Alligator mississippiensis: one gene and its partner. Each later gene encodes a partner of the first gene's protein in a complex. Links are inferred from orthologs where the notes say so. Each region holds a gene or a part of one and is shown in the gene's direction. Other genes may lie near its edges. The genes, in order: CACNB1 and CACNG1.

Region 1 (16,214 bases):
TGATAAGGCAGTGGGTATTGAGGTTTAGGGACAAAGTGGCGCTACGGGCACTAAAGTTGTTCAGGGCCATGTGATGCCAGGGTAGAATGATTATTCAGGGCTTTAAGTGAGGCCCTGTCCTTACTGCTTTGTGTCCTGTGACCCTCACACAATAAGGAAGCACTAAACAGCACTGAGCAGCTTGTCCAAAGTGGCATTTCCAGCAGGAGTTGTGTGAAGGATCAGGTATAGTGACATAGGCAAAGGGCTCTGAGCAAAGAAGTGGGACTGTCCATTAAAGATCAACCTAATCCTGCAGACATTTAGCTTGTATTTCCTTGGATATGGGTGATCACCTGGAAACCAAACAAACAATATTAAACCTAAGAATGGAACATAAGAGTTCTGAGACCCTTCATACATCTAAACCAGGGGTTGTCAACCGGTGGTACCTGGGAAGTCCCTAGTGGGTATGCGTGGACAGGCAGGTGGTAACAGACAGCCGCCACCCCCCACCCCGTGCCACTGACTCCCAGGAACAGGGTCAGGGGGGCAAGGGCAACAGCACCCCTCTGTGGGCTGCACAGGTGCCAAAGGGGGTGGGGAGCTCACACTGCAGCTGCCACCCACCACCCTGTGCTGCTGTCGCTCTGCATCTGGCCATGCGCCACCCCCAACCTCCACATCTGGCCATGTGCCACCCCTGCCCCCCCTGCACCCCCCAGCCACGTGCCAACACCCCACCCCCGCCACCACCACCACTCTGTGTCGTGCTGCTGGGGGTACACTTATTAAAAAAGGTTGAAAACCCCTGATCTAAACTACTCACAGCCTTTCAGAAACAGCTACTGTAGAAATCTGAGAAGAATGCATTGCATTCAAAACCTTGTCTAAGTCTATCCCAACCATGCAGTTGGGCCAATAAAAGATACCACCCACAAACATCCTTGCCTCTTACATACTGTAGGAAAATTTTTTCCCCCTGACGTTTAACTCCAGTTTTCCATGTTGTTACTTGAAAATAGGATCTTTGTTTCTCCAACATCCATCCACTATAGCTCATTACTCACCGGGGCTCTCAGTGTCTGATGTCACCTTAAAAGGGTATGGTGCAGTCTAATGATTAGAGCAGGGGACTGGAATACAGGACTCTAGGGTGTTGCTTCCATCTCTGTGTTTTGAGCTAGTCCCATCTTTTTGCTTGTGGTCTATACAGTGATGATGATGAAAAAATGGGGGTCCTATATTTCATGTCAATCCTGCTGATGGTAACTGCTTTAATAAGGACTGGTAGTGTTAGAGTGATGTTGTAGCCATGATGGTCCAGGAATTATGTGAGGCAAAGATTTCTTTCTGTGGTATCTTTTCTGGAACAAACTATGTAGTTGGGATAAAGTTAGACCAGCTTTTGAATGCCAGATATTCTTCTTCAGGTGTTAGGTTTAGGGCCACATGTGGCTGTGGGTACTAAGGTTGTGCAGGGCCTGACATCAGGGCAGGGTGATTGTTCAGGGATTGTGAGACCTTCTGCTCGCTTTGTGTCCAATGACCACACCCAGTAAGGAACTATTAAACAGCACTGAGCAGTTCATCCAAAGTAGCATTTCTAGCAGCAGTTGCGTGAAGGATCAGGTATGGTGACACAAACACAGGACGCTGAGCCAGGAACTGTAGGATGAAGAATGTCTTTCACTTGAAAACTTGTCTAGCTGTATCCCAACTATGCAGTTGGTCCAATAAAAGATATCACCCCAAGAAATCCTTGCTTTTCAATAAGGATTGGCATCTGTGAAGAGCTTTGCATCTTCACAGCACTGTCACAGCCTTACTTAATATTCACAAGTCCTTTGTAAGATTGATCAGTACCAATGCAACCATTTTACCATGGGAGAAACTAAGAGTGAAATTGTGCATGCCCATCCCTCTTTATAACTGTCAACCTAGAGGGTCTCCACAAAGAAAGTCCTGGACAATGACCCGTACATCACGACGAGGGCATGCTCAGCTGGGATGGGCTTCACCTGTCCCCCAAAGGTAAGCATGTGTTTTCTACTAGGTTGGCGGATCTCCTCCGGCGGGCTTTAAACTAGGCTCATCGGGGGGAGGGGAGTACGAGGGCAGGGGAAGCTGTGGACCACCAAACCATGTGGCACCCACAAGGACAGCCCAGCCTGAAGAAGGAGAACATTGGAAACCTGAAAGCCATGGGGAGACCAGCACTACAGAACAGGTAAGAAACAAGAAGGTAAGAAACAATGGGCCCCTTGGGACTCGGAGCGGGGGGGCAGCAAAGGCACCAGTCGCAGGGCTCAAGTGCCTATATACTAATGCTAGGAGCATGGGGAACAAGCAGGATGAACTAGTGCTCCTGCTTGCACTAAACACCTATGACTTAGTGGGGCTAACAGAGACCTGGTGGGATTCATCCCATGACTGGGCGGTACATATTGAGGGCTATAGATTGTATAGAAAGGACAGGTCGGGGAAGAAAGGGGGGGGGGGGTTGCACTTTATGTCAGTGAGCAATATACATCAACCCTCATCAAGACAGAATCCAAGGTTGAGGAAGTAGAAGGATTGTGGGTTAGGCTACATGGGGGGCAAGGAGAAAGGGATTTGGTGGTAGGGGTCTGCTACAGACCCCCACACCAAGGGGAAGAAATAGATGCGGGGCTCCTGAGGCAACTCTCGGAGACCATAAAAGCTAAAGAGGCGGTAGTCATGGGGGACCTAAACTACCCGGACATCTGCTGGGAGACGCAGACAGCAAGGTCCCATTGCTCACGCAGGTTTCTAACCTGTGTACAGGACCTCCACCTGACACAGGAGGTGCATGGTCCCACTAGGGGGAATGCCATACTGGATCTGGTATTGGCAACAGGGGATGACATGATAGGGAACCTCCAGATCGGTAGCCATTTGGGAGACAGTGATCACCTAATAATAGAATTCAACATAAGACGTCGAATGGGTAAGGTAACTAGTAGGGTGAAAGTGCTAGACTTTAGGAAAGCTGATCTCAATGCACTCAGGCGATTAGTCAAGAACACACTGCAGAGTAGGAGTTTTGAAGGGATGGGAGCCCAAGAAGAGTGGCTGTGCCTTAAGGAAACAATCCTTCGGGCACAAAGCAAAACGATCCCTGAGCATGGCAAAAAAGGGAAAGGGGCCAGGAGGCTTCCATGGCTGACCAGAGAAATCCAGGGCAGCCTAAGGGCCAAAAGGGGAGCACATAAAAAGTGGAAACAGGGTGAGATCACTAAAGATGAATATACCTCCTCTGCTCGTGCTTGTAGGGAGGCAGTTAGGCGGGCCAAAGCAACCATGGAGCTGAGGATGGCAACCCAAGTAAAAGACAACAAGAAATTGTTTTTTAGATATATTGGGAGTAAAAGGAAGGCCCAGGGAGGACTAGGACCCCTGCTAAATGGGCAGAAACAATTGGTGACAGATAGCGGGGACAAGGCTGAACTCCTCAACGAGTTCTTTGCCTCAGTATTCCTAAGTGAGGGGCACGACAAGTCTCTCACTGGCGTTGCAGCAAGGCGCCAGACTTCCATACGTAGATCCTGAGGTGGTGCAGAGTCACTTGGAAGAACTGGATGCCTTTAAGTCGGCAGGCCCGGATGAGCTCCATCTGAGGGTGCTGAAGGCACTGGCCGACATCATTGCACAGCCACTGGCGGGAATATTCGAACGCTCGTGGTGCACGGGCCAAGTCCCGGAGGACTGGAAAAGGGCTAACGTGGTCCCCATTTTCAAAAAGGGGAGGAAGGAGGACCCGGGCAACTATAGGCCAGTCAGTCTCACCTCCATCCTTGGTAAAGTCTTTGAAAAAATTATCAAGGCTCACATTTGTGAGAGCCCGGCAGGGCAAATTATGCTGAGGGGAAACCAGCACGGGTTAGTGGCGGGCAGATTGTGCCTGACCAATCTAGTCTCTTTCTGTGACCAGGTTACGAAACACCTGGACACAGGAGGAGGGGTGGATGTCGTATACTTAGACTTCAGGAAGGCCTTTGATACGGTATCCTACCCCATACTGGTGAACAAGTTAAGAGGCTGTGATGTGGGTGACTACACAGTCCGGTGGGTGGCGAATTGGCTAGTGGGTCGCACCCAAAGAGTCGTGGTGGATGGGTTGGTCTCGACCTGGAAGGGTGTGGGCAGTGGGGTCCCGCAGGGCTCGGTCCTTGGACTGATACTCTTTAATGTCTTCATCAGTGACTTGGATGAGGGAGTCAAATGTACTCTGTCCAAGTTTGCAGATGACACAAAGCTATGGGGAGAAGTGGACACGCCGGAGGGCAGGGAACAGCTGCAGGCAGACCTGGATAGGTTGGACAAGTGGGCAGAAACCAACAGGATGCAGTTCAACAAGGAGAAATGCAAAGTGCTGCACCTAGGGAGGAAAAATGTCCAGCACACCTACAGCCTAGGGAATGACCTGCTGGGTGGCACAGAGGTGGAAAGAGATCTTGGAGTCCTAGTGGACTCCAAGATGAACATGAGCCGGCAGTGTGACGAAGCCATCAGAAAAGCCAATGGCACTTTATTGTGCATCAGCAGATGCATGACGAATAGGTCCAGGGAGGTGATACTTCCCCTCTATAGGGCACTGGTCAGACCGCAGTTGGAGTACTGCGTGCAATTCTGGGCGCCACACTTCAAGAAGGATGCGGATAACCTGGAGAGGGTCCAGAGAAGGGCAACTCATATGGTCAAGGGCCTGCAGACCAAGCCCTACGAGGAGAGACTAGAGAAACTGGACCTTTTCAGCCCCCGCAAGAGAAGGTTGAGAGGCGACCTTGTGGCTGTCTATAACTTCATCACAGGGGCACAGAAGGGAATTGGTGAGTATTTATTCACCAAGGCGCCCCCAGGGGTTACAAGAAACAATGGCCACAAGCTAGCAGAGAGCAGATTTAGATTGGACATTAGGAAGAACTTCTTCACAGTTCGAGTGGCCAAGGTCTGGAACGGGCTCCCAAGGGAGGTGGTGCTCTCCCCTACCCTGGGGGTCTTCAAGAGGAGGTTAGATGCGTATCTAGCTGGGGTCATCTAGACCCAGCACTCTTTCCTGCTTATGCAGGGGGTTGGACTCGATGATCTATTGAGGTCCCTTCCGACCCTAACATCTATGAATCTATAATGGAAGAGTAGAATCAGGGAGGTCAGATTCAAGCCCAGAGATGATAACTGTCTTCCCTGTATTAAAGATATAATGCAGAAAGGTAAGAATTTGAGATACCCCTCCAGGATCAGAAAGTGAAGAATTCCTGAGGGGAAAAAAGGGAGAAACGTGTACAAATAAAATGCACAGGTAGGAATCATGCTAACAATTAAAAGGGATTCTCCAGTTGTGGCATTTGCAACAAGCGATATAATAGAGCTTCCCCTTGGATACAAACTTCATTGTGTTGCTGTGGTTTGTTTACTAAACTAGATGTTATAAAGCACCAAAGTCTGACATTTTTGCAATGGTTTGTGTTTTGTGTTTTTCCCATCCCTTAAAGGACTGAAGTTTGGAAGAAATTGCCAGGGGAAAAAAAAATGATCTGTGGCTGCTTGTTAAATATTCAGACAAGTTTCTAACAGTTCATTTTGTTTCTGGCTGATGTAAAATGATCAACATATGGTATGAGAAGGAGACCTGAAAGGAACAGATTTTTGGTCCATTCTGAGAGAAAAACACGGATAAACACAGATTTTTTCTGTTTAAAAACCAACTTCTCATTCTGATAAAACAAACACCAAAATCTGAAGTATCCTTAGACAGGAGAATGTTTGGTTGGGACCTTTGGCCCACCCCTTCCAGGACTCTGTCCCATTGATGCTACAGAGAAACACAAATAGAAATTCACATCCATGACACTCAGAGCTAGTTACATGGGGCTTGTTCAGAGGAAGGTAAATATTTTTTCATAACCCCTGTAGAATAGGGCTGTCCAACTGTTGGTCCCTGGGCCACCTAAGGCAGCTGAGAGGTTAATATGCAGTCCACACAGCTGCTGTTGCCCCCACTGCTTCAGTGGCTCCCCATCCCACCTCCCTTCAGCTTCTGGTTCTTGCCTTTGCTCCTGAGGATGGGGCCAGATGGCAGGAGGGTGCCGCACACGCGGCAGGGGGTAATCTGAGCTGCTCATGCTGCAAGAGATGAGTCTGCACTGCTCGTGCTCCACGTGCAGTGGGAAGAAAGTGAGCTGCCTGGGCAGCGCATGTGGTGGGGGAGGACCAGGTTGTGCACACAGCTACAGGAATGCTGGGGGTCTGTGGCCCATGTGGCATGCAGAACCGCCACCATCCAGAACCTGGACAGCTCTACTGTAGGAGAGCCCTGCTGCACCCTGTGCAACCTCCCTCATGGGGAGGTCTGTCTGTTTTATTATTTTCCCTTTGTAGCACCTGATGAAGTGAGCTGCTGTGCTTACAGAAACTTATGCATCTCTGAGTTAGTCTGTAAGGTGCAAATCTACTTGCCTTCTGCCTTATTTCCCCCATAAAATAAAGGGCTGGAATGCAGCTCAGATTTGGCATGGCAGCATTTACACACACTGGAGAGGGCAGTCACATTCTCTTTGCCTTGACTCCATAAGAAAATAAAATGGACTCTCTGAACTCTGTGCTTTTCAATGTCTCCATTAGCCCCTTGCACCAGGTTTTATTGATCCAATGGATTTTTGGTAGCAGAAGGTTCCGTGCACCACGCAGAAGTGGCTGCATTTATTTGCAAGAGCTTGGGTTCAAAAGATGTTGACTCAATATTTGATCTTGTATTGTTTCAGGGATAAAGGTTGTGGCATCTAGTAATATTGTTAGCATCTGGGCTAGGCTTGAGCCAAACCTGAGCTGCCCCATGTCAGCAGTCCACCAGGGGCACTACTGTTGTACCACATACACAGCGTTGCAGTGTTTACTACTTGGATACAGGGGTGGGGAGCCTGCCTTGTGAGGAGAGATGCTCTGGCAGCATAAAGGAAGAGGGATTGTAATTGCATTACACTCCCACGCAGCTGCCTGTGGTTTGTGCATTCATTTCCCTTCCTCCAGCTTGCTGCTGCTCTGTCTCTTTCCCTTCCATTCCATCTGACCTTCCATGCCTCTCTACCTCCTGATCCACAGTGCTCACTATTTATCCCTGCCATCTCTCTCCCACCATGCCAGTCCCTTGCTTGTGGCTCCCCACAATTCCAGCTCTTCCAAGTTGGCTTCTTTTCACTGCCAGGATCCCTTGGGGAAGACCAGCTGCTGGTGTGGACTGGGGTGGGAGGGGGTGATTTAAACCAGTGAAATAATATCTAGGAAACAGCCACAGCCTCCCAAGACACTGAGCACATTGCTCCTCTCAGGACATTACCGGATCAGCGCTGCACAAACAGACCCATGCTGGAGAGGGGAGCCAGACTGAGGTCTGGTGAACTCTCTGGGGAAGGAGAGAAGCCTCAGTGACAACCATCTCCCTTCCCCTAGCAGGATCTACAAAGTGTTTCCCTAAAGGGCTGCCATCTCCCAAGGTCCCAGCTGCAGTTGGTCTGGAGAGATCACTTCACTCCAGCCCCCATGTCAGAAGAGGATGGCGGGGGGGTCATCTCCAAGTGGGGGGCTGTACTCTCCAAGAGCTTGGGGCTGCTTAGATCTGGGTCTTCGGCTTGAACCAATTTATAGTGTCCAGTCTAGCAGGGAGGGCAGGGAAAGCAAACTTCTTCATGCAATGGGAGGGTCACATCCAAGTGAAGTCACCAAACTGGTGGGGCTGTGTCCAGATCACCACGTTCTCCAGCATTTTTTCTCTCCTTAGGTGCCTCCTTCCAGTGGTACTGGTGCTCAGAGGGATCAAAGGAATGTTGTAGGGTCATGATCCTTCTGTACATGGGGGATCTTGCAAAGAGACAAGACAGGAGACGAGATCAGGCACCTTGTGCTTCCTGCTGGGGCAGAAACTGCATGAGAGCTTCCTCCCCACAGCTGCTCCAGCTCTGTCCCTCTCATCTGGGAGCAAGAATGCAATGCACAAAGGGTGAGAAGAAAATAACTGAACCTTGATTGATCTAGGGTTTGAAACAAAGGATCAAGGGTGGTTCTGATGTCCTGCAAACTGGATCCTTACCCTCCTACACTGTGGGATCTAGCAGTGAAAGCCTGTCAGGACTTCAAGGCTGTATTCTTGGCCCTGCCACTGATCAGCTGCTTGACCTTGGCCAAGACACTTCTCTCCCTGCCTCATTTCCCCAGCCTGTATGGCAGAGATGAAGTATGATTTGGAGCGTCAGTGCTGCAGACATAGGCACCTCTGACTGTCAATGATAGATGGGTTCTAATAATGGAAAAATCTCTCTTGCGTTGGATGTCCTGAACTCCCAGATAGATTGTCTTCAAGCAGCACAATCTGGGGAATAGGGCCAGGAAAGAGACAGTTCTTAGGAGGAGTCCACCACTCTCCACAGCAACAGAGGGATCAGTTTTGAGCCCCCTATCTGGGCTGGAGAGTGGGGTCCTCCCTCCTCTTTGGAACTGGGATTAAGAGCTGTCTCTTCACCTCAGTCTCCTTGCCCTGCAGTCATGAGCTAACACACCACAGCCACTTCTGGATAGTGAACTAACAGGGGTGATGAGACATGGGGGCTTTTGACAGCTGGGTCCAGCTGGGTAGTTGCAACTAAAGGGTATTGCTGTCTAGGGCTGTGCTGGGAACTGTGAGACAAGCACGGGCCAGGGTGGGTGTCTCAACTCAGTTCTGATTGGATTGATGAAGGTAATTGTGGTGACAAACTGGATCAGTTGCCAGTAGACTCAACCAGGAGACCACACACAAAGTTGGGTCATCATGGAGAGAGCTATGAACCATTGATTGAGAGGGAGTAGTGGGGAGAACCTGTCACTGATCTATTCATCCAAAGGCTTCAGGCTCCAGGGATGCCCACCTAATGCCATTCCTCAAGTCAAACCAAGCACTTGAAGATTCATTTGGTACACTCATTGGGTTTCCCCAGACCATGGCCAGAGGGACTATTATCTTGGTAGCCAATGCAAGTGTGTATCTCTTGGTGCTACCATTCACTAGTCTGGTGTTGGCACTTCTTGATGCTTAGCCCTTGGGGCTGAGACAACAGAGCAAAGTGGCAGGCCAGTTAGGAGAGGGGGGCTGAGGAAGGGCAGATGAGTCTCATTCCAAATGAACCACGGATCCCACCAGCCATGTGAGTTTTCCTCCTCAGCTATTTCAAGGAGTGAATGCAGGCTCATTTGATGTCTTTTCCCATGACGCTTTGCACCCACCATTGTTCACCTTCCTTTTCCCCAGTCTGTGCTGGGAAACAGAGGCCCAGAGGGAGCAGGAGCGAACCATGGTGAGACATGGTTTGTTTAGAAGAACATTGAGCCCCCAGAGATCCCTAGAGGAGGTAGGGTGCTCTCAAGAAGGTTCAGACAGAAGAGACAGGGTGAGAAGAGGTGGTAGAAAGGCTGGCGGTCTTGTGCTTCAAGGAATGGAGACTTGAGCTAGCTGGAGCTACATGTAGCCATGCCACACTACACGCAGTCAAGCAGGGAGGTGAAGCTGTCTCCATTACAGAGAGCTGCCTTGGGGGCCAGTACCATTCCCAGCCATGCCTCCCTGGCTGTGCATACATTCTGGGCAGGAGAGTATGGATGCCCACGCTGGCTCTGTTGGGTGGCAAGGTGACCCAGTCCAGCTGGGAACCCCTTTCTGTGCCCTCAGAAGCATTCCTTGAACAACACAAGGAGGCAGCCATAGGTGTCCCCACTTCCTGGGTATGAGGGGCATCCGCAAGTGTAGAACCCATGGTAACCAGGATGCTTGGGACCACAGGGTACCGGTGAGCACCCCACCTGTCCCAAACCCTTAGCCCTGGGGGGGAAGCCCAGCCTGGCACACCCAAGTGGATCCAGAGCCACTTTGCCAACTGTACCAACAGGGTGTGCTGATCTATTACACCCCCACAGACCCTCCCATCCCCCAGGGAAGAAGGAAAGAGGCACCCCAGCCATTGGCAAGCCCAGAACTTCTGCCCAGAGGGGAGAAGAGACGGGGATTGGAGGAGCCCTGGTGCCGGGGATCTTCCCAGAAAGAAGCTGGACAGGGAGGAGGGATGGGGCCCCTGTTGCAGGGAGGTGGGTGTGGGCATACTCCCCCATCCTCCCCCCCCCATAAGATAACCCCAGCTGGAGGCTTGGCCTGGCCAGTGCTGAGGGCCCTGTGTGAGAAGGGCCCCACTAATGCCACCACCCCTTAGCCGAAGCAGGGCAGCCCCTGGAGCCCGTGCGATCCACTTGCCAGCCGGGACATTGCCCCCACAGCCGGGACATTGCCTCCACAGCCAGGTGGTGAGGGCGGGCGCGGCACCGCGCAGGCTGGGGGGGCTCTGCCCACCCTGGCCGCTGAGGGGACGAAGCCAGCGCCCCCAGCCCCGCAGCGCCTGCTCGGGCCGCCCGGCCGGGGGTGTGGCTCATTGTGTCTGCCGGGGGAAGGGGCGGGCGATGCTCCGGCTCGGGCCGCAGGGAGAGGGCGCAGCGGCGGCAGCAGCATCGGGAGCATGAGGCCGGCGTGAGCGGGATCCCGGCCCCGGGGATCAATGGTGCAGGACGGCAGCATGTCCAGGACGCCGTGCAGCTCCAGCCAGGACATCCAGATGGACGTGTTCGACCACCCGGGCCTGCAGGTGACCGCGGGGCGAGGCGGGGGATCCCACCCGAGCCGGGCGCGGCCCCCCGGCACTGCTGCCGGCCTCTTTCCTCAGGCGGCTGCGGGGGTAAAGGCGGGTGAGGTGTGTGCGCGCGTCAAGGGGAGCAGTGCGTGCGTAAAAGGGAGTAGTGTGCACGCGTGTAAAGGGTGTGTGTGTAAAGGGGAGCAGTGTGTGTGTAAAGTGTGTGTGTCCAGAGCCCCCTTGTACAGCGGGGCTGGGGTTGGAGACAGGAGGATTTGACCCACTGGTGGTGGTGGTGGCTGGGGACTAGCACCCCCCGGGCTCCACCTTGATAAAGAAGCCGCTGGATTCGCCCCTCCTCTGCCAGGCCGAATTGGGGTGCCCCCAAGGGTGCAGATGTGGGTGGAAGGAGGAGTCTCAAGGCACCCTGGGAGACATGGTGCCCACCTCACCCCCCCTTTGCAAGAGGAGGCAGGTGGCAGTGGCGCACGGGTTTGTGCCACACACAGGAGGGGGAGTGGACATGGGGGAATGGGTGCAGAGCCCAGGAGTGTGGCCTGGCGGTCAGAGCAGGTTGTGGGGAGTCAGGACACCTGGGTTCTAATCCCTGCTTGGCTTCTGGCTTGCTGTGTCACTGCTCCATGCCTCAGTTTCCCCATCTGGAAAATGGGGCTAACTTGCTGAGGGAGGCTGTGGGGCCAGTTGGGGTTGTGGCCAAGGCAGCTTCTTCACCAGGAGACTGGCGTTTAGTAAACTGTCCCAGAAGTCACCATGTCCCCATCATGCCTTGTTTACTGGCAGCATGGTGGGGGGTTGGTTGGGTTAGTGAATGGGCCAAGACGACCTCATTGATATGATGAAACTCAGCACATCCTCCCCACTGGCTTTGCTGAATGATGCCCACACCCAGCTCTGAGCCTTTCCACGGAGACAATTCCAACTTTGCTTTAAACACAGAGGGACTGACACAGAGAGACTTGGGGTTGTGGGTGCGGAGCAGGGATGTACCTTGATAGTATCAGTCCTAAATGGGGAAAGAGACCCAGGACAAGCCTCTACTAGTTCAATGGGTGGCTCTTTAAATGGCCGTGATTAACCCCTTGCAACCCTCAGAGCTTCCCCCTCCCTCCTCCTTCCTCCTGGATGGTGGAGCCTAGCCACTAACTGCGGCCACAGCAAATGTGAGCCCTGGATGTTCCCTGATTAGAAAGACCGGAGAGGGGGAGGGAGGAGGAAGTTCCTAAAAATATCGACTCCTGCCCTGTTCAGGGACCATGCATCTCCAGGCTGGACAGCAACTGGGCCCAGCTGTCCCTCGAGGCGTGCCTGGGAGGCGGCTGCCTCATTCCGAGACCAGCTCTGCCCTGACACGTCTTAACCGTTCTCTATGCATGGAAGGTCCTGACCTTGTCGGCAGCTTCCGGGGGAGTCCAGCCCAGAGCTGAGGGATGTCTTGGGCACTGTGATGACCCTCAGTCTCCCTGGCAAGGAGGGTTAGCAGCAGAATGGTTCAACCACCAACCTCCTGGTTCATCCAGTCCCAGTATCCTCCAATAGGAGGCAGCGTAGGAACTGGTGTCAAACTAGTTACTAAGTCCAGGGGGCTCCTTCTGTCCAAACCCACAGAGGAGTGTTTGGAGAGAGAAAGAGCCTGATAAATGTTTCTATTTGAAGAGGAGCCACTAGGTTATGGGCTGACTCAGTGGGAGCCGGTGTGTTGGCCTGCTGCGTGCATGCTCGCATGCATGTGTATGTGTACGCATACACACACTTGCCTGGCTGCAGGGGCCTGTGTGGGTGTGTGGAGGGAGAGGACTGGTGTGTGTGCCGAAGGTGAAGGGGGAAGTGTGTGTGGAGGGTGTTGACAGGGATGGCTTCTATAATGTGTGAGCATAGGAAATTGTGTGTGCAGCTCTGTTTGCAAGGGGGTAGGTGTGTGTACAGCTCTGTGAGTACGTGGGTGTAACTACACAACTACAGGGTGTGACATGCACGCAGAGCCAGGGGGTAGGAGCCTGCATGTGTGCACACTCAGAGTTGAAATGTACCCTTCACTGTGTGCATGGCATTGGGGTTGTGACTGGTTCAGGTCCTTCCCTTACCAGATACAGACCTCTGTGCTCCCTTCACACCCTCCCCACAAGGGCTGGAGCTGTCTGTGTTGTCCCAGGGTCTCTGGAGATGGGGACAGGCTGACTTCCTCACAAGAGGAAGCTGCTGTGCGTGCCCAATATGGGGGGAGGGGGGCAATCTCTCACTCCAGTCAATCAGACCAGAATGACAGCACCCTTTGAAGTGTAGGCCAAAGGGTGGTGAGGTCCTATACTGGGATCCCTTCTCTGGGCTCTGGATCCCACCTCAGCAGTGGATGATCACTGTGCTCTCTGGCAGTTATAAGGAGGGGAGGGAGCCCAGCACCCCAGTCAGCAGGGACTGGCTAAAATATCCAGTCAGCCCCACATCCTCACTCTCTCCATGGTGACCAGTCCCTGTGTTCATGCCTCTATTTCAGTCCCATGCCCCTAGGGATGATGTTGGCTGGGGATAGAGCAGGGAGCCACCCTGTGCTGATTTAGTTGCCTTGCTTAGCAGTGGAGCCCAGGAGTGTGTCCCCTGAAAGAGTTAGATGCCCAGGTCTAGCAGCCCTCCCAAATATACTGATGCAGAGGCAGAGCCTACCCCATCCCCAACCTTCTTGGGACAGACACTTAAGCACGTAAGATTGCGGGGCATAGATGAGGAGCAGATCTCCTGGTCTTACTGGAGAAGCAGTTCAGCCCCAGATCATTCCACTACCTCCATATCTGTCACATCCTGCTACAGCTCAGCACCCCAGCCTGGCTGCCAGCTCTAAATAAGCATCTGCCTCCATCTTCCTTATAGTGAGCCTTGCAGCAAGCATGACTGCACACGCCTCACTCTTTCCCTCAGTACAGGGCACTGACAGTCAGCTCAGAGGGTCACCCTATACATGCACCTTCCCTCCCAGGGGGGCCTCCACCTGCTTCCCTCCTCTCTGCCTTGATTAAGCTACTGACTCCTCTGTGCTGATCTGTGGGGGGTGCCAGCAATAAGCAGGCTGTTATCTGGGGGTGCCTCCCTCTCCCAGTCCCTTCCCAGGGCCAGGGCAATGTGGATTCTCCAGCAGCCGCTGCAATCAAGCCCCTTAGATCTGGTGTCATCCTGCCTTGCCTGCTGCACCCCTCCCTGTTTCCATCGGGGTGAGCTGACATGCCTGGCATTGTAATTAGCTCTCCCAGTAATTAGAGGCTGGCTGTGGCACTGCATGGAGCCAGATTGGTTGTGAACCTGGCAAGGATATTAAAGCCCTGGAGCAGCCTATTGATTGGTGCTTGTATCAGGTGACCTGGCAGCGCTGTTTGCTGCCAGAGGCCTGGATGGCATCTTTGGCTGAGTTTTAGAGAGCGATCTCTGCCTGCTTTTAGCCCTGTCTCTCTTCTCCCCACACTCTGAACGAGTTCGCAGGAGCTACCGGCGTTGCTTGCTCAGTCATGGGGATGGCCTCAGAGGGGAAAGGATCCAACAGGCAGGCCTTAAGAGAGAGAGACATCCTCTGGGGACCATGCTTCAGGTCTGCTATAGAGATTTTCCTAGCATAATAGATGCTCTCAGACCAGCAGGCTCTTCTGGCCTCCTGCTCTGTTCCCAGTGGAGACTGGCAGACAATACTGGAAAGACATCTTCCTGTCCTTTGTGTTGTGATATTCAACCATAGGAGGAGGGGTTCCTGCCTGACCTTGCTCAAAGGATGCTCTGAACTGCGAGTATGGCTGACTCTTGTTTGCCTCCTTTAGCAAGCTGCCCTTTCCCATATATGCCTCCAGTGTGGTCACAGAAACAGCTTATGGTCTGTAAATTGGAGTGGGACTCCTGGGTTTTGTTTCCAGATCTCCTGCTTGGGTGGCTTTGAGTAAACCATGCTGCTATGCCCCAGTTTGCCTCATCTGTACAATGGGATTTAGGACACTGAGTTGCCTCCTAGGTGGTGGTGTGAGGACCATCAGACTAGAAGAGGCCTCTTGGGCTCTAGAATCTAGTGTCTTTCCACTGATTCAAGGAATCTCCAGGATCACCGCTTCAAACCCTCACCCACAACTACAAGACACAATACCCGAAACGCTGCCAGCATCCTATAACGTGCCACAGAAAATAGATAGCACAGAGACAGGGGCGCTGCCAATGCCTTGCCACTGCAAGTAGTTGGATAATATATACTCAGGAGCTCCTAGGAAAAGGACCATGTCTCATGCTACAGAGGAAGGCAAAATACCTCAGTCTGTGCTGAGCTGACCTAAGAGAAAAATTCCTTCCCATCCCATAATGGGGTGTTGGGTCTGACCTTGGTCTTGAAGATTCAGTCGTGCTTATCAAAGCACTTCAAGAGTCTTCAGCATCCTTCCTCGAGGAGTTCCCTGAGTTATTTATCCTCTGCAGCCAGTGCCTGCTCCCCTCTGCCTGTGAGGCCCCGTGCACTCACTAACCAGGCTCCCTTCTCTCCCCCAGGGGAAATACGGCAAGCGGAAGAGTCGTTTCAAACGCTCGGATGGCAGCACCTCCTCGGACACAACTTCCAACAGCTTCGTGAGACAGGTACAAGCAGTGGGCAGGGGTTTGACTAGCTTTGGTATGCCTTTTCTGAGCAGCAGTGGCATGGAGCCCCAGGGGTACTTGTGTGAAAGGTTCTCTCCAGGGGACTTGACATGTTTTTTATCCTTGATCTGGCAGCAGGTGGTGATGGCAGGTTGCTGGAATACAGCAGCAGCAGGCAAGGGGGTAAGCTCACCCCCGGCTGTCCATCCCCAATGACTATAATAACCTTCTAGCCAGTCTCAGTTCAAGGAGTTACTGCTTAGCAGGGCTTTGGTTCCTGCTCAGCCCCATCCCATTGTGTCTCCAACTCTCATGTTTTGCAAAGAGCAGAGCCTGGGCCCCTTTGTGTTAAAGTAACAAGAAAAGACCAAAGTGAAGTGTCCATGGGAGAGGGTGTGGGGTGCGTGACACCCTTTGCAACCCTGAGACCAAACCCAGTGCCCATTTCTGCCTGTGCAGTACTGTTACTAGTTTTAAAGCTGTAGGACACTGAATCCAAAATGTCCCTTCTGAGACTCTGCAGTTTGGGTTTAAATGATTGGGGTACTTCAAGGGCAAAAATGACTTCTTAGCAACCAGTCCATATATAGTCTCCTTTGTGTGCCAGTGGTGTGAGCACAGGACTGGAGTCCTGTGAGCCCTGTCTTGTGGGAATCAGTATAGCTGGGCAGAGATGTCGTTCCCTGGCCATCACTGGGGGCACAACACTGACAAGACCTCATCTGCTTTGGTTCTGTGGCCCCAGGGAAAGCCTCAAGCCAACTCCTTGCAGCCTGCATCTGGGACCAGGGAAAGGTTGCAAGAGCTTCAGGAGGGCAGGGATCAAAGCTTGAAGGCCTCTTTTTATTCTGGATCCACTCAGAGCTTTGTTGTTGCCCATGGCAACACTGCTTAGTTGTAACCACTTCACTGCCGTGGATGTAGGTTGCTCTGTGCAGTGGTGCATGGTGGTAGGGCGAG
Region 2 (16,214 bases), on another chromosome or scaffold:
GCTGAGGATGGCAACCCAAGTAAAGGACAACAAGAAATTGTTTTTTAGATATATAGGGAGTAAAAGGAAGACCCAGGGAGGAATAGGACTCCTGCTAAATGGGCAGAAACAATTGGTGACAGATAGGGGGGACAAGGCTGAACTCCTCAATGAGTTCTTTGCCTCAGTGTTCCTAAGCGAGGGGCACGACAAGTCTCTCACTGGGGTTGTAGAGAGGCAGCAGCAAGGCGCCAGACTTCCATGCGTAGATCCTGAGGTGGTGCAGAGTCACTTGGAAGAACTGGATGCCTTTAAGTCGGCAGGCCCGGATGGGCTCCATCCGAGGGTGCTGAAGGCACTGGCCGACGTCATTGCAGAGCCACTGGCAGGAATATTCGAACGCTCGTGGCGCACGGGCCAAGTCCCGGAGGACTGGAAAAAGGCTAACGTGGTTCCCATTTTCGAAAAGGGGAGGAAGGAGGACCCAGGCAACTATAGGCCGGTCAGTCTCACCTCCATCCTTGGTAAAGTATTTGAAAAAATTATCAAGGCTCACATTTGTGAGAGCCCGGCAGGACAAATTATGCTGAGGGGAAACCAGCACGGGTTCGTGGCAGGCAGATCGTGCCTGACCAACCTAGTCTCTTTCTATGACCAGGTTACGAAATGCCTGGACACAGGAGGAGGGGTGGATGTCGTATACTTGAACTTCAGGAAGGCCTTCGATACGGTATCCCACCCCATACTGGTGAACAAGTTAAGAGGCTGTGACTTGGATGACTGCACAGTCCGGTGGGTGGAGAATTGGCTAGAGGGTCGCACCCAAAGAGTCGTGGTAGATGGGCCGGTCTCGACCTGGAAGGGTGTGGGCAGTGGGGTCCCGCAGGGTTCAGTCCTTGGACCGATACTCTTTAATGTCTTCATCAGCGACTTGGACGAGGGAGTGAAATGTACTCTGTCCAAGTTTGCAGATGACACAAAGCTATGGGGAGAAGTGGACACGCTGGAGGGCAGGGAACAGCTGCAGGCAGACCTGGATAGGTTGGACAAGTGGGCAGAAAACAACAGGATGCAGTTCAACAAGGAGAAATGCAAAGTGCTGCACCTAGGGAGGAAAAATGTCCAGTACACCTACAGCCTAGGGAATGACCTGCTGGGTGGCACAGAGGTGGAAAGGGATCTTGGAGTCCTAGTGGACTCCAAGATGAACATGAGCCAGCAGTGTGACAAAGCCATCAGAAAAGCCAATGGCACTTTATCGTGCATCAGCAGATGCATGACAAATAGGTCCAGGGAGGTGATACTTCCCCTCTATCGGGCGTTGGTCAGACCACAGTTGGAGTACTGCGTGCAATTCTGGGCGCCACACTTCAAGAAGGATGCGGATAACCTGGAGAGGGTACAGCGAAGGGCAACTCGTATGGTCAAGGGCCTGCAGACCAAGCCCTACGAGGAGAGACTAGAGAAACTGGACCTTTTCAGCCTCCGCAAGAGAAGGTTGAGAGGCGACCTTGTGGCTGCCTATAAGTTCATCACGGGGGCACAGAAGGGAATTGGTGAGGATTTATTCACCAAGGCGCCCCCAGGGGTTACAAAAAACAATGGCCACAAGCTAGTAGAGAGCAGATTTAGACTGGACATTAGGAAGAACTTCTTCACAGTTCGAGTGGCCAAGGTCTGGAACGGGCTCCCAAGGGAGGTGGTGCTCTCCCCTACCCTGGGGGTCTTCAAGAGGAGGTTAGATGAGCATCTAGCTGGGGTCATCTAGACCCAGCACTCTTTCCTGCTTATGCAGGGGGTCGGACTTGATGATCTATTGAGGTCCCTTCCGACCCTAACATCTATGAATCTATGAATCTATGAAATAAGCCCAGTTCCCTTAGTCTTTCCTCACAAGCCATGTCCACCAGTCCCTGAACCATTTTTGTCGCTCTCTGCTGCACTCTCTCCAATCTGTCCACATCCTTTCTGTAGTGGGGGGCCCAAAACTGGACACAGGACTTCTGATGTGGCCTCCCCAGAGCTGAATAGAGGGGAAGAGTTGCTTCCCTTGACCTGTTGGCAACACACCTATCAATGCAGCCCAGGATGCCGGTAGCCTTCTTGAAACAAGGACACACTGCTGGCTCGCATTCAGCTTATTGTCCACCGTCACCCCCAGGCACTTTTCTGCAGAGCTGCTGCCCAGCCCGTCAGCCCCCAGCCTGCACCGGTGCAAGGGATTGCTCCATCCTAAGTGCAGAACTTTGCACTTGTCCTTGTTGAACCTCATGAGATTTCTTTTGGCCCAATCCTCTAATTCCTCTCATACATGCCATGCTGTAACTGTTTTGATCTCAACTTTTTTCTTACCGATCTTTACTAGTTTGGCCACTCAACCCTCTTACACATCACAGAGGTCTTGCTTGATGGCTGTAAGATGGGAAGTCCTGGGAGCTTCCACTGGAAGATTTTGCCTGTGCTATTCTATCAGGGAGCAGGCTCTATGCCCCACCACTCAGTCTGTCCACAAAACCAGTGGAAACTTCATGAATCATAGAAGTCGGGTCGGAAGGGACCTTGTAGATCTTCAGGTCCGACCCCCTGCCTGGGCAGGAGGAAAACTGGGCTCAAATGACCCCAGCCAGGTAGGCATCAAGCCGCTTCTTAAAGCTCCCCAGGGTAGGAGCCAGCATCACTTCCCTTGGAAGTTGGTTCCAGATCCTAGCCGCCCTGACTGTAAAGTAGTTCTTATGGATGTCTAATCTAAACCTACTTTCCAACAACTTGTGGCCGTTATTCCTTGTTATCCCGGGGGGTGCTAGGGGAAACAAGGTCTTCCCCAAACCCTTCTGGTCCCCCCTAGTGAGTTTATAGACAGCCACAAGATCACCCCTCAGCCTTCTCTTGTGAAGGCTGAACAGGTTCAGGTCCTGTAGCCTCTCATTGTAGGGTCTGCCCTGATGTCCCCTGGATCATGCGGGTAGCCCTCCTCTGGACCCTCTCAATGTTGTCCATATCCCTCTTGAAGTGCAGTGCCCAGAACTGGACACAGTACTCCAGCTGCAGCCTGACCAGTGTTGCGTAGAGGGGGAGGATCACCTCCTTGGCCCTACTTGAGATGCACCTATGGATGCACGATAGGGTCCGGTTAGCCCTGCCGACCATGACCTTGCATTGTCGGCCCATGTTCATCTTGGAGTCAAAAATGACTCAAAGATCCCTTTCTGCCTCCATGCTCTCAAGAAGGGAGTTTCCCATCTTATAAGTGTGCTGCTGGTTACTACTGCCCAAGTGCAGCACCCTGCACTTGTCCGTATTGAAATGCATCCTGTTTTTGTTAGCCCACCTTTGCAACCTATCCAGGTCTTTCTGCAGTCTTTCCCTCCCTACTAGTGTGCCCACCTCACCCCAAATTTTGGTATCATCAGCAAATTTGAACGGGTTGCTTTTCACCCCGTCGTCCAAATCGCTGATAAAGAAATTGAACAGCGCAGACCCAAGGACCGAGCCCTGGGGGACTCCGCTGCCCACTTCCCCCCAGGTCGAATATGACCCGTCCACCACCACCCTCTGAGTACGACCCTTCAGCCAATTTGCAATATATCTGACCGTGTAGGCATCGATGCCACAGTTGCCTAGTTTTTTAATGAGGATGGGATGGGAGACAGTGTCAAAGGCCTTGCTGAAGTCCAGAAAGACTACATCCACAGCGACACCTGCATCCAATGCTTTTGTGACCTGATCATAAATGCTGAAGCTGGGGTTCTTTTCACAGAAACCCCAGCCCTCCAAATTCTCGCTAGGCTTCCTCGGCTCCACGGTATCCCTGTTCTAGAGACTTGCACTAGCGTCCTCTAGAGCACCTTTCCACAGAGGCAGGTATTTCACAACATTTATCAAAAGTACAACCATGCAGCCACTATTGAATCTAGCAGTATCAGCTGAGGTGTTGAAGTCCAGTAGGGTTGCAACAATGAGAGAGTCCCATTCACTATGTATTTCTGTATTTCACCATGTTACAATTTGGCCGCAGCAATATCCTTTATTTTTCTGTGTGTGGGAGAGCAGTCTGATGGCAGGGCTTCTCTCCCTAATTTTCAGTGGCCTGGTCCATGCATTGTATGGGAGAAGATGTTTTCTGTGCATCTGCTTTCTCTGTTCTGTGTACATTGCAAGGCTTTTTCTGACCAAAGAGTCCCCCCGCAACTGAAAGTCCCTGCTTGGTGTAAGGAAACCAGCTGCTTTCTAACCAAAGGAAATGTGTGGATTCAGGGCCATAGACCTCTGGAATTTGGAAGGATTGCCCCAAACACTTTTGTTCGCATGGGTAAAATCCTGTTCTTATTGACCTGTCCGTTTCCCTCTGTTACTGGGAAGGCTCCGTTACCTCTAGAGGCACCATCATGGCCAGAGGGCTTGGAAGAAAAGGAGCACAATCCACTGTGCCTGTTGAATTTGTTAAGGCACTGTTAGGTGCAAACTCAGATGCGGACACCAGTGACAAGAAGCAAACAGTACCACGACAGCTACTCCTGATTCCAGGGAAAGAAAAGTACTGGGGCTTTAGGAAGTTTTGAAGACAAAGACATTTTTAAAGCCACAAAAAAATGTTCATGGAAAATTTCATATTTTTGAATGAACAATCTGGGTTTTAATAAGGCTGTTTTTTGAAGGGAAAAAAATGTTTAAAAACATTGGTAGTGTTAGACCGGGGTGGGCAATTATTTCAGCTGGAGGGCTGCTTAACCAGTTTTGGTGAGCTGTCGAGGGCCGCATGGGTAGCCCACCTCTTGATGCTTGCCCCACCCCCTGGTCGCCATCTTCAGATGGAAGTCCCGCCCCTAACCCCTGACCTTTGCCACTAGAAGTCCCTCCCCTTGCCTGTGATGTGTAGCACTGGACAGAGCCACGTGCCTCTGGGTGCCAGCACCTGCCCTGGGCACAAGCATCCTGAGAGCCCCCGCTTGCTGCTGCTGCTGCTGCCAGTGGGGGCTATGCACCATGGTGGCTATCCCACCCTCCCTCACACTTCACAAGTGCCACACACCCACACCCAGCCCTTACAACCTCCCCACATACCCTATTTCCCCCCACACATACGGCCACACACCCTTACAAACCCCCCACTCCCCACCATACACACACCCCCACACCCTACCTTACACACCCCCACACTCCACCATACACACATACCCAATACCCCACCATACCCATACAGCCCCACACCCCACCTTACACACATACCCCTATCCAACCATACACACACCCTCCACACAATATACAAGACTACAAAAAGGCTGCCCTGAACTTTGTCCTGCAGGATTGGGCCCCACATGCTCCCAGGAGCGGCAGGGGCCCGAACCTGTGGGATGTCTGTTTTACCCAGTGAAGCAGAGGAGCTGTGCCAGGACACTCCCAGCACAACTGATCCACTTCATTTGCTGATGCCTGTTTACACCTTAATAAAAATCTACTGCAGAACAGCATCAATGTAAGACATAGCGTGATGGTACAGAACAACACACCAGGCTAAAATCCTCCATAAAACAAGTGCTGCTGGCCAGCTGACAAGCACAGACTCAGTCACCTGCATGCCAGATATGTACAGCAGCATGCCAACAACTACTGAGCAGGCTCCCTGCCAGCCACAGTATTTAGGGTCAGTTGAGAGGCAAGCCTGAAAGAAAAAAAATCTGCTGCACTGCTGAAAAGCATTTCAACCTCTCATTGTTTAGCCTATATCCCTCCCCGCTCCAATCCCACTTAGACTCTTGCTGAGAGGGCTCTCTTTCAGACTGTGACAATAAAAACTAATGCTGATGAGACGATGCTTAGCCAAATTTCTGTCCTTTCCACTCATGGCTAAATGTTTTTCTGGATAGCAAGCACCTTAATACATATTTTCCAGTTAATGTGCATCATTTCAAAATGGCATTTTCCATTTAATAACTGACCTAAATTTTAAAAGAAAAGAAGGGCTCAGACAGAATGGTCTGGGTTAGATTTAAAAAAAAAAAAAAAGAAAAAAAAACCCTTATTTTTTTTGTTTCATCAAAAAGAATTTTTAAAAGTTTCTATTGTGATTTCAACTGAAATGTTTTTTCCAGTACTTGTTTTAACCACCAAATTGAAAAATCCATTATTTATCCAATCCTATCACAGTGGAGATATACCTGGATTACAAAGTAAAAGTTCGGTTCCATAATTAGATCAAAATCCTGACTTCTACAAAGTTTTGAGGTGTTTGGATACATTTGCACAATTTGTGTTTTTGCAAACATTGACTTGAGTCGCGCATTCCCCCAGGATTGAGAATGCCTGCAGACAAGGAGGAGATTGATTTTGGATCCAATATTGAATTTTTTTGAATAAAAGTGAGCTCATGCTTATCTCAGTTACAACAACAGATATTTTACATACTAACTGGGAAGTTAAAAATTTACACCATTGACTGTTCCTGGTCACATTGTGAGTCAGGCGGTCTTGGTCTTACAACCGTGAATTTAGTTATACAGATCTAGTTTTGCTTCCAGTTGGCATATGGACCTCCAGAACAAACCAAGGAGGAATGAACCAGTAACCTGAGCTGCAGCAGCAGTTACTTCACTTATTACGTGCATTAAAAGAATCCCCACTCACAACAAGTCCAGTCATCCAGTCTCCTGATATATCTCAACAGCTGTACTTGTGGCCATATCCATCCCAGCCCAGTCTGTTCTTCTTTTTTGCATCACAGGGCTGACATTTGAAAATGCTTAGACATGCCAAGACTTTGGGAGACCATTTGAATAACTTGCAATGATCTTCCATGCAAGCAGATCAAGGCAGACTCAGCAGTAATCACCAGGCAGAGGCTGCTCTATGTGTTCCAACACAGTCCAGCCATGGACGAAGGCAAAACACTGAAAATCCGGCTAACTTTCTCCGTTATTTTGGTTGGTGTTGCTTTATTGTTTGCAGCTGTGGTGACTGATCATTGGGCAGTGCTGAGCCCTGAAGTGCTGCACTACAATGCCACCTGTGAGGCTGCTCATTTTGGGCTATGGCGGCTTTGCACAAAACGGATTTACGTGCAGGATACTAAAGAGAAGGGCTGTGGACCGATCAGTCTGCCAGGAGGTACGTGTCAATGCTCGTTTCACATCCCTTCCCAGAAATGCCTGAGAGAAAATGCCACGTTATTGCTATTCATGTCTTTTAGGAACCTACAAGACATATTGAAAAGGAGATATGGTTCTTTGTTCGCATTGCACTTAGTCTTACAAGATTTCCTGAGTGAATTCGGTTCCATATTAGCATGAAAATACACCTTATTTTCATATTTCCTTGAGGCTTATCTTAAGTACATGATGTACTGCCACAGTACATATCTTCAAGTATATTCAGTACACTGCCTTTCAGTAGCTTCTGTACAGAAAAAAAAAGAATATAGTTCGTATAACAGATAGGAGATGGCAGAAAGCATAGACTGAAATCAGGGAAATGGGACATTTTCTCACTGGTGTTTTGATGAAATCTTCAATAGGCCCAGCCCCAAAACACCTACACAAGCCCTTATTCAAGGAAAATGTATATAATTTTCACTGTGAGGTTTGCCTGTATGAGGATTATAAGACAAAATCTAGTGTCTGCAGTTAGCTCAGAAGAAGAACTTCCTGGTTCAGATAACTTCAAAGGGACAGCTTGTGCAGGAAGGATATTAACATATCCCCAAGCTACCCTGAATAATTATCATTGCTTCAGACAATGTGCAACTTTGGACAATCATACAACTTTTAATGTATCATGCTAATGTAATGTCCTCCCTGGAAACCATCTCCCTCATTTAAATGCCAAAAATCCCGTAGACTGAATTAGAAATAATATATCATCAATTTATTGGGTTTCCTTAAACTTCAGTGACTGAAAGCAAACATATTCCAACATTATTGCTAAATGAAGTTTAATCAGCTGCCTTTCTTCATGACAAGTAGTAACATACGTTGTAAGTAGCCCTTACTGCAACTAGTAGGCATGGTAGTCAAGTAGGTGATTTCCAGGGAGAACATTACATTAGCATGATATATTAAAAAGTCGTATTATATTTTTGCTGGATGGAAAGTCAGCAACATTCATGCAACATGTGCTAATACCCTACTCACAACTTCACTAAGCTGTATTTTAAAGAGGCTTGCCATGAATTGGATTATTTGCCAAGCAGAAGTAATAGGCTGCTTTGCTTGTTAGAAATACTATTTGAAGCTAAGGTTAGATTTTAATATATTTGTAAATATGCTATGAAATTGCATAACGATAAATCTCAGTTCATGTGATTAATTAATTTATTATTAGAGATCTGATCCGCAGCTTTCAGATCCAGGCTTCCACCAAATTTGGAGCTGTTTGAGTCTAGACGACTGGCTGTAGGCCATATCTAATATGCATAATAAATGTGTTGTAATATGTATGTGCAATCCTAGTTTTGCAAACATTAGAGCTTCTATGTTTAACATAAAAATAAGGATTCATGGGAACACCAATACTGCATGTTGCTGGATACATTTATAACTTATAAATACCCAGCTGTCTCTATAAAACAGATTCTGAGTCACTGCAGCAGAGAAATGACTGCTCTTTTTGATGGACATCACCATGTGCTTGCATGGTTGTCACATAGCTGAGCTATCCATCCCTCTGCACTGCCTTCCTAATGTGTCCAGTAAACAAATAGGTAATTATGAAAGAAGTGAGCCAGTCCTCTGCAAAGCAACTTGAAAAGACTAGACATAATCTTTGTATGCTGCACAGGTCAGCACTTGGCAGTTATTCATGAGATTTGATTAAATTTAATCCCAACCACCTAACAATTAATTTTCTAGCACCAGTCATCCTACTACTGGAGGCTTTGAAAGAGTCCGTCCCCCACATTTTTTTTTTTTTAACAACTGTTAATAACATTCTCATATCTCCACTATAAGGTAGATATTACTGTACCCATTCTCCATATAGGGAATCTGAAATAGGGAGGGGTGGACTAAAACTAGCCCCACATATAGTCCATAGCAGAGTTTGAAAAGAAACCCAAGAATCCTGCTTTTCAGGATTCCCCCTTATATTGTAGGTAATATTGCCATTATTGTAATGGTATCACACTCTTGAAAAAGAGACATTCCAGTTGTCAAGCTTGGGTTTGTCAAGAAAGTTTAGCAGAACAAACAGACAAGCGGGGATTTTGCTTGTGACCATATCAGTAGATCTTTTTTCCCCCTTAAATGTCATGAGATATTAAATCCTACACTATCATCATCATCTGAAAAATTACAAGTATTTACTACTTCATTAATAGCCACTTACCCAGTCATACTCACGGAAAAGATGGATGGCATTGCTACTATTATTTATTTGTTGAGTTCAGCACGGTATGGCATGAAAAGGAAGGGCTTGGGGATTGTAAGCTAAGAAAAGGTCTTGTGATTCAGGCAAAGAGAATTAAAATTACTTAAAAAAATATGCTAATAAACTAGAAAGGGTTCGTAAATTTATCCAAGGAATGACAAGATTTAGTAGTTGGAAGTTTAAGTTAGACATCAGGTTTTAAACATGTGAGCCTTAACTGTAACAGACCTTTGGAATAACTTACTTGAGGATGGGGTAGACTCTTTATCATGACAAGTCTTTAAATCAAAATGGGATGTTGAAAGGTAAATCTTATTCCTTATCCCCCAGAAGATATGGGCATGGTGTAGAACATCACCAAGTGACTTTTATAGCCTGTGGATGCTGGAGGCAGATTGATAAATGAACGCTGTTCTTATAAAAAAATCTACAAATCTACAAAATTGCAATGTGAATGGTGCCGATACGGTACTGCTGACTGAATCTGACCAAGTGACTTGACCTGCTTCCAGCATCTCTCTTGTCTTATCTGTATAGTTGGGATAGTACAACATACCTGAGAGGTGACCCCGAGTCCAGCCCCACCAGTTTCAGATGATGGCACAAAAAGGCAAAGAGTGGGGTGTCGACTTCAGGAAGCCCAGGTGGAAATTCCCCTGCTGTGCCACACATTTTCTGTGAGACTTTGGGCAAGTCACATAGGCTCTCTGTGCCTCAGTTCCCTAGCTACAGAATGGGGATAACAGGACTGGTCTACTGCACATGGTTGTTGTGAGGATACATTGAGAAATTATCAGGTTCTCAGATACTAAAAAAAAATGGGACCATAGTAGTATCTAAGTTCAGATTCAGATCCAACTTTTCCCTAAGTCCTCTGTGAAAAGTCCAGCCTTGTTTAATTGCATGCTTCTACCCCTAAAGTCCAAAGGACTAACAACATCAAAACCCATGCTTCCACATCTCATGGGTTTTCCCAGCAAAGGCACTTCAACCGATGAGCTATCCCTCGAGGCCTTCCCCGTTCCTCACCCACTGTGAGTCAAGCATTGGCATACAAGCCTGATGGATCACATCAGCCTGTGAGTCAAGTGTTGGCATACAAGCCTGATGGATCACATCAGGGCAAAGGGACAAATCTGGGCACAGGGGCTTCATTTTGTCCAGTGGGCAGAGTAAGCAATACTTCACTGGAGGGAAGGAGTCATTAATAGTACTAAGGCTTGATAGTCTATTCTTTCCTTCAGCTCCAAATTCAAAGACGTTAAGAGCCTGCTAGTTAGCTTAGATAGTATCTGCTTTTTTGCAGACATGAAGAAGAGCGTTTTGTGCCAGAAAGCTTGTCTAACATCTCTCCCAGCTATGAAGTTGGACCAAGAGAGAGAAGATCTCATCTCACCAATCTTGCTTCTTGCATATTTTTCCTGAATTACCATGGCCACAACAACACTGTTATTGGCTCATTTATCATTTGCCTGCCACAGCTTGGCTGAGATAGAAATATTCAGTGCTCACCAGGCCAAACTCATCTACATTTCCAGGAGCGTGACAGATAATAAGGCAGCTGGAGATGTATCAAGTACAGGGTCCCTTGGATAGCCATCTCTGTTTCCGCTCTAGTGTACCTATTGCACAGGACTACCACACAGTGTAGCGGGTAACTCCAAGCACGGCGGCAATACAACATCTTCCACTGGAATCCTTTCAAACGATGCCGAGGTTCATGCTGATTTGGGGATGAGGGTGAAAAGCAACCTGTGTTATTCTGTACTGTAAGGAGTTTATTAAGATGACCTGTAAAACTGACTGGATCAAAAGGAGCTGCACTTGTCCATTTAGACTCAGAAAGATTGGGTTCAATTGATTATCCCTCCTGGACTACTTTATAGGCCATTAATTTGCATGCAGGTACCCTATATCAAGCCCAAAAGACCTGTTGAACTGAAGGAGTCCTCATTTCAGTCTTCAGGAGGCTAAGCTTTGGGCCACAGGCTGTGGCCAATCTCCAGTATTTCAGAAAGTGGCCAGAAATTAAAAAAACAAAACAAAAACCAGAGAAGACATCTAGCCATTTGTGCACTGGAGAACAGTTCCTTCCTGGAGGCTACCAGATGAAGCCTGGAAACCCGAGATTGAATAGAGAGCTGCAAGTATTACGGATCTGTTGAAAGCAGGGCAGACTATCCCATTTTCCGCAATGCCCAAGAAGGAAGGGGATGAACAGATTGCAAGATTCACAAATTTCAAGGCCAGGAAGGGCTACTATTCCCATCTATCCATGTTCCTCCTTCTATACCTGCACGTTTCTTGGTGATTCTTGCAATTAATTCGTATCTTTTAACAAGATTATTGTGTTGTGAACCATACTATGAATACTTTGAGAACCCTGCTTTACAAATGGAGATCCACAAAGCCAAAGGATTTTTTTCTACTAGCATAGCTGCTGGGTAACATTATCATGGAGAGAATGCAATTAAGGGAGGTGAGAGAGGAAGAATGCCACAACGTTTTCATCCATTATGAAGTTTTTTTAAATCCTAGCCTTAGTAAATGTAATGTGACAGAAATGGGAGTTTTCTAATTCACGGTGGTGCTGGAAAGGGCTTGAAGTAGCTCAGCTCTGTTGAATAATGGCAGGTTTTGTTGATAAAGGTATTCCCAGCTCAGTGGCTCACTGAAGTATCATTGACATGAAGACAAGTGTATCTCACCACCATCATTCTTAGAAAAAAATATCCAGCTTTATTCTGTGATAAATATATGATCTGCAATAGCTCTTTCCCCAAAGCTGGCGCATTGACTTAAAAACCTCTTGGCAGGATTATTATGAAGCTAAACCACAGTTCATTACATGGATAACCTGCATTCATTCCAGCAGTTCATCTCTAAAAAGACAACCCCAGGAACTGCCACGATATCCCCTCTGCCCCTTTTTTCTGATTAGAAAATGGGGTGGTGTTGGAGATACCTTTTCGAAAGAGTGCTAAGTATTCAGAGTACCATGGTACTAAGTATTCAGAGTACTAAGATTAGGGGTCCTAGGCATTAGAGGATTTCAAATAATTAATAGTGTGCTGCTTTGCTCACCTGTTCTATTTATAAAGCAACTGCAATGAAAAAGGATGTCAAATGTGCTTGCTCCAGTATCAGGGGGATCATTCATCAGCCTGTTTGTCATCTATCAAAGAATCAGAATGCCAAGTTTGTATTGCAAACCCTCCTGGTAACTGATAAACGATGCAATTGAAAAGTTAGTAGTTGGTGAGTATTAGTCATGTGACAGAAAACTTGTGTTTCGCTGATGCAAAGTGTATTTACTGGGTGTGGCAGCAGTGTAATGGAGAGTAGTGACACCTGGTACTACATGCAGTTTGGGGGTGAGAGGCCTTCTGTGAGAGGGATGAAGCAGCCACAAACTAGTGGCCCAGATCCTGTTTTCTTGGAGCCTCTTTGTTCTTTTGTGCTCTTCACTTGCAGTTTTTGCATCTTTAAGCAGTGGCTTAACAAACATAAAGCACCATCATATCTGTTTGAGATCAAACATGTTTGCTTCTGTCATATTCAGGGATAAAAAGAGATGTGGCCACTGGATGCCAGAGCTGAACAACCATTAACCGAACAGTACATGAGAAGAAGCTGAGGGATGGAATTAAAATCAGTTTATATATATATATATATATATATATATATATATATATATAAATAAAATACCTAACTCTCAAAAGAATCTTCAGCTAATGAGCTCCAAACATGTGGGTTACACATACTTCTTTGTAATTGTCTGACTTCCTATCAGATAGAAAATATTATATTTGGAACAACAATTCTAGGATATGGCATTTATGTTGTAGGAGAAACAAAAAGAATCTGGTTGATGATGTACAGATCTATGCCATTTTAGCACTATTGAAGGATAGTGCTGTCAATATACACATGCTTTGCAAGGGAAGGTTTGTCTGCATTGGGGCATGATTTTGGTTGCAGTCGTTTACGTCCAGCCAGTGGTGTACAAACCCCCGAGATAGAGACAAAGCCACAGGCTGCACCAGGAAAATTTACTGTGGATTCAGCCTGCACCAGTAACTTATTATGGATTTGTGGGCCTATACAAAGGCTGTGCACTGATGCAGGTACATGCATGGCTGGACACCAGTGCCTGACATTTCTAGTGCAAGCAAGGATTTAGTGTGCTGCAAAGAGGTGTGGAGTCCTAAAGTCCCCTCTTCATTTATAGACATTTATTTCCACTATTTCAGGGCAGCTGTGCCAACTTCCTCCACTCCCTCTCCCCCTCCCCACTTTATTTGTTCTACAAACAATAGGAATCATTAAAACAATTATGACCATTTGCCATCTGCCACGGTTACATTTCCTGCAGTCTTGGCAGCATTACCTGCTGTTACTTTAGTGATTATGGTAAAGCAAAATCAAACTCCTTGGTGCACCAAAGGTGTGATTTTTAATAAGGCCCACAAATAGAGAACTGCCTATATTCTCTTCAAATAGGCTGGCCAATAGAAAAAACACGATCAGACTATATACTGCTCCAGTTGGCAGCATCTTGTTAATGACACAATTCCCTCCAAACCCTTGGCAAGCAATTGTTCTCTTAACTATATGTATTCATCAAGCCCTCAATTAAACACGTTATAAATAGATGATGCTAAGTGTAAAGACACTCCTTCCTAATGCTACAGCTGGCAACACTGAAAGTCAATGACCATCTACTGAAAGGACCTGCCCCTGTCTTGCTCACACATTTATCCAGATTGAAAGCATGCTTCTTTTTTTTATTGCAAGCACAGATAGAAACTTTTCATCCTGTGGCTAAAGAGGGAATTTGAAGCCTTTGTTTGCAAGCGAGCATCACGCCACCAAATAACTTTAGACACAAGTCCAAAAACCCAGGAAAGACTGGTGCAGTTGGTCTATTCCACTAGAGTCAAATGCTGCACACTTCATTTCATTTTAATAGATTCCCCCTTACAGCAAAGTTTCAGTGACCTGTAAGAAAGTTCCATGCTGCAAAGCCTTGTGGACTGAGCTAGCACCAAGATAGCATCTTCTCCCTTCTAGTCCCTGCCAGGGAGTGACAGGAGAGAGATGGGATATTCATTACCGGTGGTTAAAGCAGAGTGAAGCAGAAGAGGGAAGTCTGATCTCCCCAGCCACATCAGGTGGGCAACCATGCATGCGTAGGGAGAAGATTCTGCTTACCTGAGCCAGGAAAGGGCCTCTGGTTCCATCAGAGGAGAGGAATTTGCAATTCCAATACTCTCCCTTACTTTAACCCCTGCTCATCAGGGCTGTGCAAAGCTATGGGTGCCGATTTGATTCGGAGGAGATTCGGCCTGATTTGGTGGTGGAATCTCCGAATCTGAATCGAATCAGGGGACCAATTAAAAGGTTCAAATCGATTCAAAGCTTTTTGGAAAAGATTCGGAGAGCTTTGATGATTCGGGCAGTCCTCGGTGGCTGCAGCGTGGAGCTGGAGCTGGACTCGGAACTGGTAAGTAGGGGGTGGGGGTGAGGGGACCATGGGGGGACCCCCGCCAGCCCTCTGACCCCACCCACTCCCTCAGCCTCCCCCCCCCATCCCACGGCTGCCCTGCCCACCCCAGCTCCCAGTCCTTTAAAAAAAAGGCCCAACTCACTGGGTGCTGCTGGGTGAGGGGTGATCTCTGCTGCCCCCACTGCATGGGGGGCTCTGCATGAGCTCTCAACACCCCCCTCCCCCCACGGCTGCCCTGCCCACCCCATCTCCGGCCCTTTAAGAAAAAAAAAATGAGAAAAACCCCAGGAATCACCACTCCTACAGCAGCCTCAGGGCTTCAGGGGACTCATGCAGAGCCCCCCACATGGCATGGGGCAGTAAGGGGGGCAGCAGGGATCACCCCCCCACACCAGGCAGGAATGGTGAGTCCAGGGGTTTTGGGGTTTTTTTTACTTAAAGGGCTGGAGCTGGGGCAGGCGGGGCAGCCGTGGGGTTGGGGATCAGGGGACTCATGACAGAGCCCCCCATGCAGTGTGGGGCAGTGGGGATTGTTGGGTGGCAGCACCCGGTGAGATGGGGCTATTTTTTCCAAGTGCTGGGAGCTGGGGCGGGCAGGGCAGCCATTGCTGGGCTGGGAGAGCGAGCAGGGGATGGGCCTGCATGATTCGGGGATTCGGCAGCAGCTGACTCTCCAAATCAGATTCGGCCAAATCAATTTGGGACAGTGATTTGAATCACTGAATCGAATCACTGTTCCCCAAATCAGCCAAATTCGAAGTGAATACTAGTTGCTTTGCACAGGCTTACTACTCATGTCATAAGTACCAGCCTTGTATACCTTGGTAGAAATGCCATTGTGGCGCAGGGATGGGTTGGCAATGTGACTTGTGCAGGGGAGGGGAGGGCAGGGGAGCCAGGGGATGCCAAACCAGGTTCTGGAGGCTGTCATTAACAGGAAATGGAGTACAGGTTTCCCTCGCTTTATGAGGTATATGCATTCCTAGAAAACGGTGCATAATTGAATTCACGTAAAGGGAACCCACTTTACAATGTAACAAATAGGAGTTCATTCCAAGACCTGGACTGTACTGACTCCCAGACCCATTTCTACCACTTTTTGGTAGAATTTTGGTAGTCACAATTTTGACAAAGACAATTTTGGTAGTCACCAACAGCAGACAGCACAACCAAGCGCAGGGCACTATCATACAGGGTATGGCAACTACAGAAATATGTGTCGCAGACAACGAGCGAGGAGCACAGAGCCACACAGGAGACTATATTTTGGTGCGTGTCACTCCCACAATGCACCACACAAAGCAGCTGACTGCGGGATTCGACCACGCCAATCACATAAGAGGGAATTTACCTCGGGTATAACGAATTT

Evidence for each region.
Region 2: CACNB1 (region 1) and CACNG1 share a complex: the UniProt entries of both Homo sapiens proteins name them as parts of the calcium channel complex. The link is inferred for Alligator mississippiensis from reciprocal best matches to the Homo sapiens genes CACNB1 and CACNG1.

Annotation. Positions count from the first base shown.
Region 1 is NC_081827.1:165,924,579-165,940,792, forward strand, and holds the start of CACNB1 (voltage-dependent L-type calcium channel subunit beta-1), read left to right. Parts: upstream 1-5,479; 5' UTR 5,480-10,571; coding exon 10,572-10,658; intron 10,659-11,248; exon of another isoform or gene 11,249-14,226; coding exon of another isoform or gene 14,227-14,235; intron 14,236-15,167; coding exon 15,168-15,254; intron 15,255-16,214. UniProt on the Homo sapiens protein: Regulatory subunit of L-type calcium channels. Regulates the activity of L-type calcium channels that contain CACNA1A as pore-forming subunit.
Region 2 is NC_081831.1:5,750,725-5,766,938, forward strand, and holds the start of CACNG1 (voltage-dependent calcium channel gamma-1 subunit), read left to right. Parts: upstream 1-6,732; 5' UTR 6,733-6,845; coding exon 6,846-7,080; intron 7,081-16,214. UniProt on the Homo sapiens protein: Regulatory subunit of the voltage-gated calcium channel that gives rise to L-type calcium currents in skeletal muscle. Regulates channel inactivation kinetics.